Linked DNA regions of Daphnia pulex. The protein of the gene in region 2 purifies or fractionates together with the protein of the main gene of each other region. This does not show direct contact. Links are inferred from orthologs where the notes say so. Each region holds a gene or a part of one and is shown on either strand. Other genes may lie near its edges.

Evidence for each region.
Region 1: the proteins of RILP-like protein homolog (region 2) and ras-related protein Rab-10-like purify together in Homo sapiens (co-immunoprecipitation; 3 studies listed by BioGRID and IntAct, with this or other methods). This does not show direct contact. The link is inferred for Daphnia pulex from reciprocal best matches to the Homo sapiens genes RILPL1 and RAB10.

Annotation. Positions count from the first base shown.
Region 1 is NC_060018.1:11,839,615-11,844,093, forward strand, and holds ras-related protein Rab-10-like, read left to right. Parts: upstream 1-1,789; 5' UTR 1,790-1,890; coding exon 1,891-2,017; intron 2,018-2,132; coding exon 2,133-2,193; intron 2,194-2,255; coding exon 2,256-2,394; intron 2,395-2,463; coding exon 2,464-2,553; intron 2,554-2,611; coding exon 2,612-2,800; 3' UTR 2,801-3,429; downstream 3,430-4,479. Other genes in the region: protein lifeguard 1-like, read right to left, coding at 1-50, 114-375, 437-593, 683-764. UniProt on the Homo sapiens protein: The small GTPases Rab are key regulators of intracellular membrane trafficking, from the formation of transport vesicles to their fusion with membranes.
Region 2 is NC_060023.1:5,831,553-5,836,434, forward strand, and holds RILP-like protein homolog, read right to left. Parts: upstream 3,405-4,882; 5' UTR 3,264-3,404; exon of another isoform or gene 3,205-3,263; 5' UTR 3,105-3,204; coding exon 2,887-3,104; intron 2,810-2,886; coding exon 2,574-2,809; intron 2,507-2,573; coding exon 2,382-2,506; intron 2,316-2,381; coding exon 2,112-2,315; intron 2,048-2,111; coding exon 1,872-2,047; intron 1,785-1,871; coding exon 1,605-1,784; intron 1,503-1,604; coding exon 1,439-1,502; 3' UTR 1,333-1,438; coding exon of another isoform or gene 1,281-1,332; 3' UTR 930-1,280; downstream 1-929. Other genes in the region: sodium- and chloride-dependent GABA transporter ine-like, read right to left, coding at 365-486; trichoplein keratin filament-binding protein-like, read left to right, coding at 3,738-4,447, 4,534-4,665, 4,724-4,882. UniProt on the Homo sapiens protein: Plays a role in the regulation of cell shape and polarity. Plays a role in cellular protein transport, including protein transport away from primary cilia.

The sequences.
Region 1 (4,479 bases), on a different chromosome or scaffold from region 2:
GCAAGACAAACCCCCGTGCAGATACCAGCGGCGATTAGCACATCTTCCGACTGTAAACAAGTATAATTGGATTAGTGGATACCATTACAACCAAAAATAATACTTGAACGTACTCTGTAGAGAGACGAGACAGCGCCAAGCATAAAGCCTTCGCAAGCCGTGAAAAGTCCCAGTAAAATAATATTTAAAGGCCAGCGTCGTCGGAAATCGTTGCAACACGCCAGAACGATTAAAAGGACGAAGGTCATGACAAACGCGATCCACCACATTTCAGGATGTTGACGGGAGTACATCTTGACGTTCGGTTCGTAGACAAAGAGAGATATGAATCCCACTGTGATGGCAAGCTGCACCATTAAAATCGCGTACACCTTCCTGCAATGACATTGGTTATTATTTTATGATGGGATCGTGTAGTAAAGTTTTTAATCCATACCTTACGAAAGCCATACGGATAGACTTTTCAGAGAAGGAAAACGCGGCATCGCCGAGTCCTCCGGATTCGTAATCTGCACCACCGTACATGTTGTTGGCTGGAGCTGCGGGTGGTTGTGGATTAAGCGGTGGATTTGAATTGTACGGAGGTGGTGGTCCTGGAATGTTGAACACATATACATTAATATCTGGCCTTTAGCCGTCGTACAAGTTTTGGGATTCAAAACTGAAAAGATGACTTAATCACCTTGATCTACCGGGACAGCCCAGCCATAGCTTGGTTGCCCAGGCTGAGAAGGGTAGGTTGGGTGGTTGGGTTGAGATGCCATGTTTTATTTTAATAGGAAAAGCCTTCCCTAAGCAAAATGCATGAAATTAATCAAGAACGAGAGAAGGCCTAGCAAAAATTTGAAGAAAAATATGACGAGATAACAATATCAAGACCACTTCCATTCAGATATTTTAATAATAATAAAGGTAACTTTTAAAATATCATTCAAAAGTTCTATAGGAAAGGTGATGTAAAAGAAATAAATATTGAGATATTGAATCATGAGTCCATGTTGTTGCACAACTAACATTACTAAGAAGCTTAAACTGCGATCCTTCTAGAAACCCCATCAACGACATGCAAAAAGCCGCTATTTAGGCATTAGCTTCAAATAGGTGAATTTCTTGACAGCTATGTGATCAAGTAGAAAAGCTAAATGGGTTAGTTTGAAACTTACTTCGAATCGCAAAATATCCCACCCACTCTTATCTCAAGAGGTGTTTTAGCGATACGTCATACAAAGTCCAAAACAAGCAAACGATTGGATTGCACAAACAAGCATACAAAATGGATTCAGTGATATCTAACTATTAAACCAGGCCTGACAAATTGTCTATTCGTCTCCATTCTTGTTCCCTCCTCCACTTGTAAATCCACTTTTCAAACGAAGATGAAGATGTCAAAGATTTTTAATTTTACAGAATTTTAAGTGATGGTTACTTAGCGTAGTGCAGTTTGATGTTAAATCATTAGAAGTTTTTTCTGGTAGTTGTCAAGTCTTCAATACGTAAGGTTTTGTATTATTTTTGCTATCGCGGATTTATCGACTTGGTCGCGCGAAATTTTATGGGGATTCAACTAGCGCCACCTATGTTACAAACAAATTAGGAAGTAAATTTTGAAAAGATTAAGCTAAATTATGATAAAGATTTCGTTGCATTAAATATAAAGTTGTTAAAGATAATGCCAATGAATTTACGGTTTCGCCTATTTTTAAGTTTATGAAAAACAAGTTAAGTTGGTGTTGGAGCCACTTGTTAATGATCTCAAACGACCAAGGCCTTCTCCGTTTAATCGTGAATGTGATCATTTTTGTTCTATTTCGTTTTCCGTCATCATATGGTTTGAGTCTGAGAGTGTAGTGAAGAGTTGCAGAACCCGTTCGTAAAAGAGAATTGAAAGATATGGCAAAGAAATCGTATGATTTGTTGTTTAAGTTATTGCTGATTGGGGATTCAGGTGTCGGAAAGACATGCATTCTGTTCAGGTTTTCTGATGATGCATTCAATACAACATTCATTTCCACTATTGGTGAGCTAATGGATCTTCATTTTCCCTAAATTTTTTTAAATTTCCCAGCCGCACCCCTGACAAGATTTTTTTCACATGATTGCCTTTTAAAACGTCACTATTTCGTCAATTGCAGGTATCGACTTCAAGATCAAAACTATTGAGCTGCAAGGGAAAAAAATCAAACTTCAGATATGGTAAAAATTATTAAATTTCTCAAAACTTTATCTTGGTTTAACATGTACATTGTACTTTTTAGGGACACTGCGGGTCAAGAGCGTTTCCACACCATCACAACATCTTATTATCGTGGAGCAATGGGTATCATGCTTGTATATGACATTACCAGTGTGAAAACATTCGACAACATTGCAAAATGGCTCAGAAATATAGATGAGGTAATAATAATAGTCATGAATAATAATTTAAGGAACCAGAAATAAAATTTGTTCCATTTTTTTCCATAGCATGCCAATGAAGATGTAGAGAAAATGATTCTTGGTAACAAATGTGATGTTGAAGACAAAAGGGCAGTTAGTAAAGAAAAAGGAGAGATGGTAATTTAATCAATTTCTTGTTCTTGGTTATCTTGAAAATGACATGTTATGATTGCAGATTGCCAGGGAACATGGAATAAGATTTATGGAAACATCAGCTAAGGCCAATATCAACATTGAGAGTGCTTTCTATGAACTGGCCCAAGCGATCTTGACCAAAACTTGCGGACGAGAGCAAGCCGAGCCCTTAGATCGCGTCCCACTGGAAGGAAGTCGCAATGATCGCCAATCTAATCGGTGCTGTTAGTAGTAGTAATAATAAACACACAAATTTCTTCAATTCTTAAGCGCCCAATTAAACATGGATGTGATCAACGTTGAAGTTCCGCGCAATTAGACCGGCATTTTTGTAACCAAAACAGGGAAAGAAGCAAAATGAGATGGTATTTAATGGATTGTTTATCCTCATTCTTCTTTGAAGGTTCAGTGGGTGATTTTAAATTGAGAGCTGTTGACAGAATGAGGAGACATGTCAATCCACACCCGTTTAACACGTCTCCTTTCACCTGACTAATTAAAATAAAAGAAACGAAAAGTTCAAATTTGGCCGGTGGCGTTATTGCTCGACTCAAAATCCAATTCCATTTTCCAATAATCTTGCCTTGTACCGAACTACTCTAAATGGTTTGTGAAAACTTCTTTCTTTTTGTCCGAGTTGCTTTTTTTTTTTCGTGGATGCCACGATAATCTTTTCTTTCTGCAATTGGTGACTTTACTGTTTCGAAGTAACTTTGATGCAAGAAAAGGCGTCCTTTTCCTTACTGTTGGCCCTGTAACCTGCTGCGCTAAACCACACACATTCTTCATCCGAAATTTCCATTTTTTTGCTGATTCTTATTGCTGAAGCTTGTAAATACAGAGCCGTTTTCATAATAACTAACAATATATACTCTTTTCTTTCTTTATAACCAATCAATAGGATAAAATTCGATGGTATGTCGATATCGATGCGGATGAATCATCAACTTGTGTTACCCTCCAGTAGACTTGAGTTTCTTCAGTTAGTGCAATAGTCTGACCAGAAGCATTGCGATAAAGCGATTACTTCATGGGTTTTTTCCTTCGAACAAGAAAACGTTTTCTTCGCAGCGGGTTTTCGGTGTGGGTGTTGCTTCATCTTTTTTTGTTCAACCAACGGCATCAGAGAGATAAGCATTGACTTCCGCTATAATTTTATCTTCAAGGTTTAGGGTTTAATATTGGCAAAACAACTGGCCTGAGCTAAAAAAAAATTAAATATGATTGTAGTCACTCAGATAGGGACCACTGACGAATAGATGCGTAGATTTCTTATCGTTGGAAATGAGATACCAGCAGAGTCCCAGCAGATCCAAAAAGGTCACTCAGCGCTTTTACAGTTATTGGGACATGTCAATACAGTTACAGTATACGTCGTACGACTCGTTTTCCTCTACTTTTTCTAGCTGGACACAAGTTTTACTAAAATGTATGCCATGAGTAGTTTTCTTAAGTTATTAAAACCCTTTCAACTTCCTCTTTCTTTCTTTGTAAACCTTCATCTTCCTGTAACATTATTCGAGGCAATGATCTTTGTACATTTTAAGGGTGTGTCTTGTCAAAACAAGACACTTCCTTTTGTGAAATAAATAACTCGGAGTGGCTGACTAACCATTGTCGTCTTGCGCTCAATGTTGTTTCGCAATCGCAATTGCCAATTGGCGAACGAGAATATCGAAACAAATTGATTTTTGAAATCTGACGTCATTGCTTCAGAAGCAGACGATGTGTGTGAATTTACACCGTAAACAGAAAATGCAAATTCATCAGTCTTGAATTGGAATTCCGCCCCTTCAAAAGCAAAAACCGGTTCGTTCTTCCTTCTTTGTATTTGTGTAATTTTGAACTTGGAAACTAAATATTCTGAGGCGCTAATTGGCTGTTAACGTGTTTGTTCATCTACTACAG
Region 2 (4,882 bases):
ACTAAGTGGAGATTTTTCCAACTTGTTAAAAACAAAAAAACAGAAATACGATTCTGTGAGTGCGTCACCATTCCTATTCGCAGTTGAAAATAAGCATGTGCTAGACTACACATTGACATTGAATCCGAAACTGCGTAGACTACACGCATGAAAGCTGTGACACCAAAAGCGGATGTCTGAGACATGACTGATCCTGCGCTCTGCTTCAGACAGCAATTAACAATTTAACCTTTTTTCGTGAAGTAAGGTAAATGCTCACGGGTGTAAGACATTTTGATGCGATTTTTCCACCGATAAATATAAAGTTAACATATTATGCAACAACATATGGATGAGACTTTTATTTACGCCTCTGTGCTCTTACGTTTCAGGTGGTTGGTCCCCGGTGGTATGTTGTGAAGAAGATTTGTAGCTTCCTGTAGCTTCGAATATTTCGTTTACCTCGCCACGACTATCACACTGGCCTTTATCAATAAGCTCACTCATTTTTTTATAGATATGCGATAGTTTGATAAATTCTTTGATACGTTTTAGTTAATGGGATTGATGAGGGAACACACGACAACGAAAACCAACAAAAATCACGATAAACCCAACGAACGAAGTGACACGGGAGCGTTAGTCGGGTGTTCATAGGCCTGAGGCTATTTGAGGTCGACTCGCATGAAAAACTCGCAACGTTACTGACTGAAAAATGTGAAGGTTTCACCGTTTGTCCTTGGAGAGATATTATTGTGGGTTAAAAAAAAACCATTGTTCTTTTGAAGGTTTAAATCACTGCATATGTTTGAAAGAATTATACTATACGTGGGCTATGACCGTTTAACCTCTATTCGGGTACCGTACATTCCTGTAATTTTCTCAAGTTTAAACATTTAGCTTTAACATAATAACAATTGTAGAGGTAAAAGAAAAATGAAGACTTGAAATTCATATACGCCATCTGTGTATTCCACGTCGTTAATTGCAAATCAAACGTCTAATAAATGTCTTAGTCTTTGGGATGTAGTAAATGGGGAGTATCTCATGAATAGAACAATGATACACAATTTGGTTATCCGTTGATGATCCAACAGTTCACTAAAACCTAGAACGTCACTGACACATTGTCTGTGAAGGTAAAGATCGCATCTATGGCCACATTTAATTGAAATGATGCAAATTTTAAATCATGGCGATAAAATGACAGTCGATTTTTATACTAAAATTGCTACGAGAAACTTTGTTCGGCGTGGGATTTTTGGGAAAAACCGATTTACCAACTTTCGGTACTCTTTTGGTCACTGTGGATTCAAAAGTCCCGCACTTGGCAACATAACAAGTTTTTTAAACCTGAAAAAAGAAAGCAATAGAGATTACAAATCAATACTGCCGTTAAGGCTGTCCGGTTAGACCGAACTATATACAAGTTCAATATCACAAGTTGGAAAACGTCAGGTCATTTAGCACCATCTACAGTGCGTGGAGCTAATAAACGAGGGAAAGAAGACAAAGTAGAAAACCTAAAAACAAAAACAAAACAAAAATAGAACTGAAAAAGAAAAAGGAATGCGACAAGCCAAAAGCATAAGATTTTAAGCGGTTCGGAATCCCAATTAACTTACAATTTTCGGATGCTCGAATCCTTTTTTCTCGAGCTGGGACGTTTCCACGGAGCGTCGTCCGGTTCGTAGGGTAAAGGCCCTTGAACGGGAAGGTCGCAGGTAGACTCATCTGCTTCCGACGCAAGAGGGTCACCGGAGGAAGCAGTCGACTCGCTATTCAAAGGCGACATCCTTTCAATACTTCAAAATAGGAGAAACAGAAAATCATTAAATTAAACAGCTTAGCCATAATAATTCTTTTTAATTGCCCAGCTTTTAATTACGTACTTGGAATGGTTTTTACTTGGTCGATAAAGCGCTAATTCATCGACCAGATCACTAACACGAGCTTTGAGTTCATTTCGTTCGCAGAGAATCTCTTTTAGTTCGGCTATGGTGAACCGAGGGCGATTTGGATCATTAATATCGATGACAATTTTATTAGTGAGATCTGGTGCGTCGTTCTATTTTCAAAGAGTGATTAAAATTAAAAAATTTAAAAAATGTATCAAATCAGTGTAGGAATACCTGGCACTGAATCAAATCTTCATTGTCTCGTTGTGCGACACCTAGTCGCTTATTCAGCGCAGCCAAATTCCTCGACTGTTCTTGATGTAGAGCCTGCAAATCTGCTCTCTCTTCAACCAAAGTTCTCATTTGCTGAGACATATGAGTTTGTTTCCTCCGCAATTCCTTGTTGATTTCTGTCAATCGATCCACTTGATTGTGTAGCTAAAAATACCAAATAGGTACTGTAACGTCCAGTAATAATTGCAAAAATTTTAAATGTAAATTTACAGATTCTGATTCACAGAGTTTATCTTGATACTCTTTGTCCCTGCAACGCAACAGATCTCTCTGTTTCTCATTAGCTTCCCTGAGCTTTTCGAATAAATCCCAATCAGGCTCTTTTGGTATGGGATCTAAAATATAATTAGATAAAACATTAATATACATTGCTTGATTGAAATCATAAGGAGAAAACCTTACTTTTAGAAACATTTTTCTCTGTACTTTCTTTTAATGAAGAAGACAATCTCTTGTTTTCTTCTTGAACTCTTGAAATTTTCCCTAATAGTTCTTGTGTTTCTTTTTTCCAGTTTTCTTCTAGCTGCTCAATTTCCTTTTCATATCGTAACCTATCAACAGCTTTCTCCCTTTTCTCACGTTCAAGAAGACTGATGTTATTTTGTAATTCTTCTACAAGTTGCCTTTCTGATTCCTGCCTAAGATTCAAGCACAGAAAATAAATAAGAATACATTATTGCTCTTTGTAAAATGTTTTCTTCATTTAAGGACTTACCTTCGAGAGGTTTTATCAAGCAGTTCCAATACTCGTATGACTTTCTGCATCAGCCCTTCAACTAGTTCATTTCCATGAATGCTAATAATTTTTTCTAACTCATTACCAACATCAGAGGCAAGATCAAACACATCCACAACAGAAATATCTGGTAGGGAATCATATTCTGAAGAAGAATCTTGCTGATCTTCCACACATCTTGGTGAAGGCAAAGGCATATTGAATCTTGAACTTTGGCACACAAAACTTTCACTGATTTAATACTCCAAGAGCCCAGATCTCAATTGTTGTTTTAAAAAAGGTTTCATGTAGGGATGTCTGCGGTTAAAATGGTGGATAACTAATAAAAATTTTTTCCGATTTGGTCATAAACTTACGAAACAGTTGTTGAAACCAAAGATTTATTTATTCATTCTCTTCACGCAAGAACAAACAACCCCACTCTGTTTTGGGATGTGTGTTTCATAGAAACCCTTCCTACGCACTGACTTTAAAGGGCTCTTTAGGTGATAAACAGCGGAGAGCAAATGAATGACGTCATTGCAGAATTACTCTATCGACTTTGTCGAAAACAGGTTTGAAATATATTTTACATTTTATGGACATGGTTATAGAAAATACTGCAACGCAATGACATTCGATCTGATAAAAAAATTTATACAATACAAAAATTACGGCAAAAATATTAAAATTTATAATTTATGTATGTTTCAGGTAGTTTCAAGATCTGGCAACACCCATTGCCATGGTGACCAAAATCAGGTTAGTTTTTTCGAATAAACAAGAACAAATCAACTTTCATCACTTTTCCCCTTGAAATAATCGGGAGTGGTTTTATACGATTTCTAAAAATGAGCAATTCATTCAGGCCCAGAAGTGGTTATTCAAACCCTGACAGGTACAGCGCTGCGCTGCCTGTTATGAAAATGCGATTGGAAAACGAAATTATTCGTAAACGTGAAGCAGAAACTCGTCGAAGTGAAACGGCTCGATCGAATGACAGGTATTTTCAAAATTGCAATCTACAAAACGAGAAGTTTGACGATTGGACGTCCCCAAGAAGTGCCCAATTAAGCCACCGTCAATCAAAAATACGTGAAACAGAAATTGATGTGGAAACTCGTAGGAAAAAACTTAAGAAACTGTATCAAGGAGACAGATTAAATGAAGAACAAGCATTGAAAAAAATTAAACAAGAAGAAGAAAACCAGAAGTGGGAAAATATGAAGGATAAAGTGCAGCATTTTAGGCATTCAAAAAGTGTAAAGCTGAATGAGTTTGTCGAGAACAGGGAGCATGAACAGTGGAAATCTACTAGTGCTTCATTCAGGGCATTTGAATCTGAGTTGAAGAAACAGCAACAACAAGAAATGTGGACAATTCAACTGCAGCAGAGAGAAGAAGAGAAGCTAAGATTACTGGAAGAAAAGAAAAGAGAAGCTGTCCAAATGGAACGCTTGGTTCAGGAAGAAAGGAAAAGAGAAGAAATAGAACAGAAGATGGAATTACAAAAGAAACAGCAATGGAGAAAGGATCTAGATGAGCAAGTTGAATTGTTGAGGTTTGTAAAATATTTCTCATGTCTTTTTCCTTATCATCGATTAAACTTAAAAATTCAATACATTATTACATAATATTCCATCTTAGGTCGAAGGATTTTGAGGCAAATGAAAAACGACGAGAGCACGATAAACTAATGGCAGACGCTGCTGCATTGGAGGCTATCAAGGAAGAAATGCAAAAGAAAGAAGAAGAAAGAGCAAAACGACAACAGAACGGGTATTTATATTCTGTGATAATTGTTAAACAACAACAAATTAAATACCTTGCTTTTCAGGGAGTTCCTTACCAAGCAACATTTAGCGAAGTTAAGGCAACGGTCTAAAGAAGTGGCCGCTGATTTGGAAAAAGAAATGAGCTTTGCCGAGAAACTTTTCCCAAATGAAAGTGATTCTGCTTTAGAAAAAGAAAAAACACGTCAAGACATTCAACGATT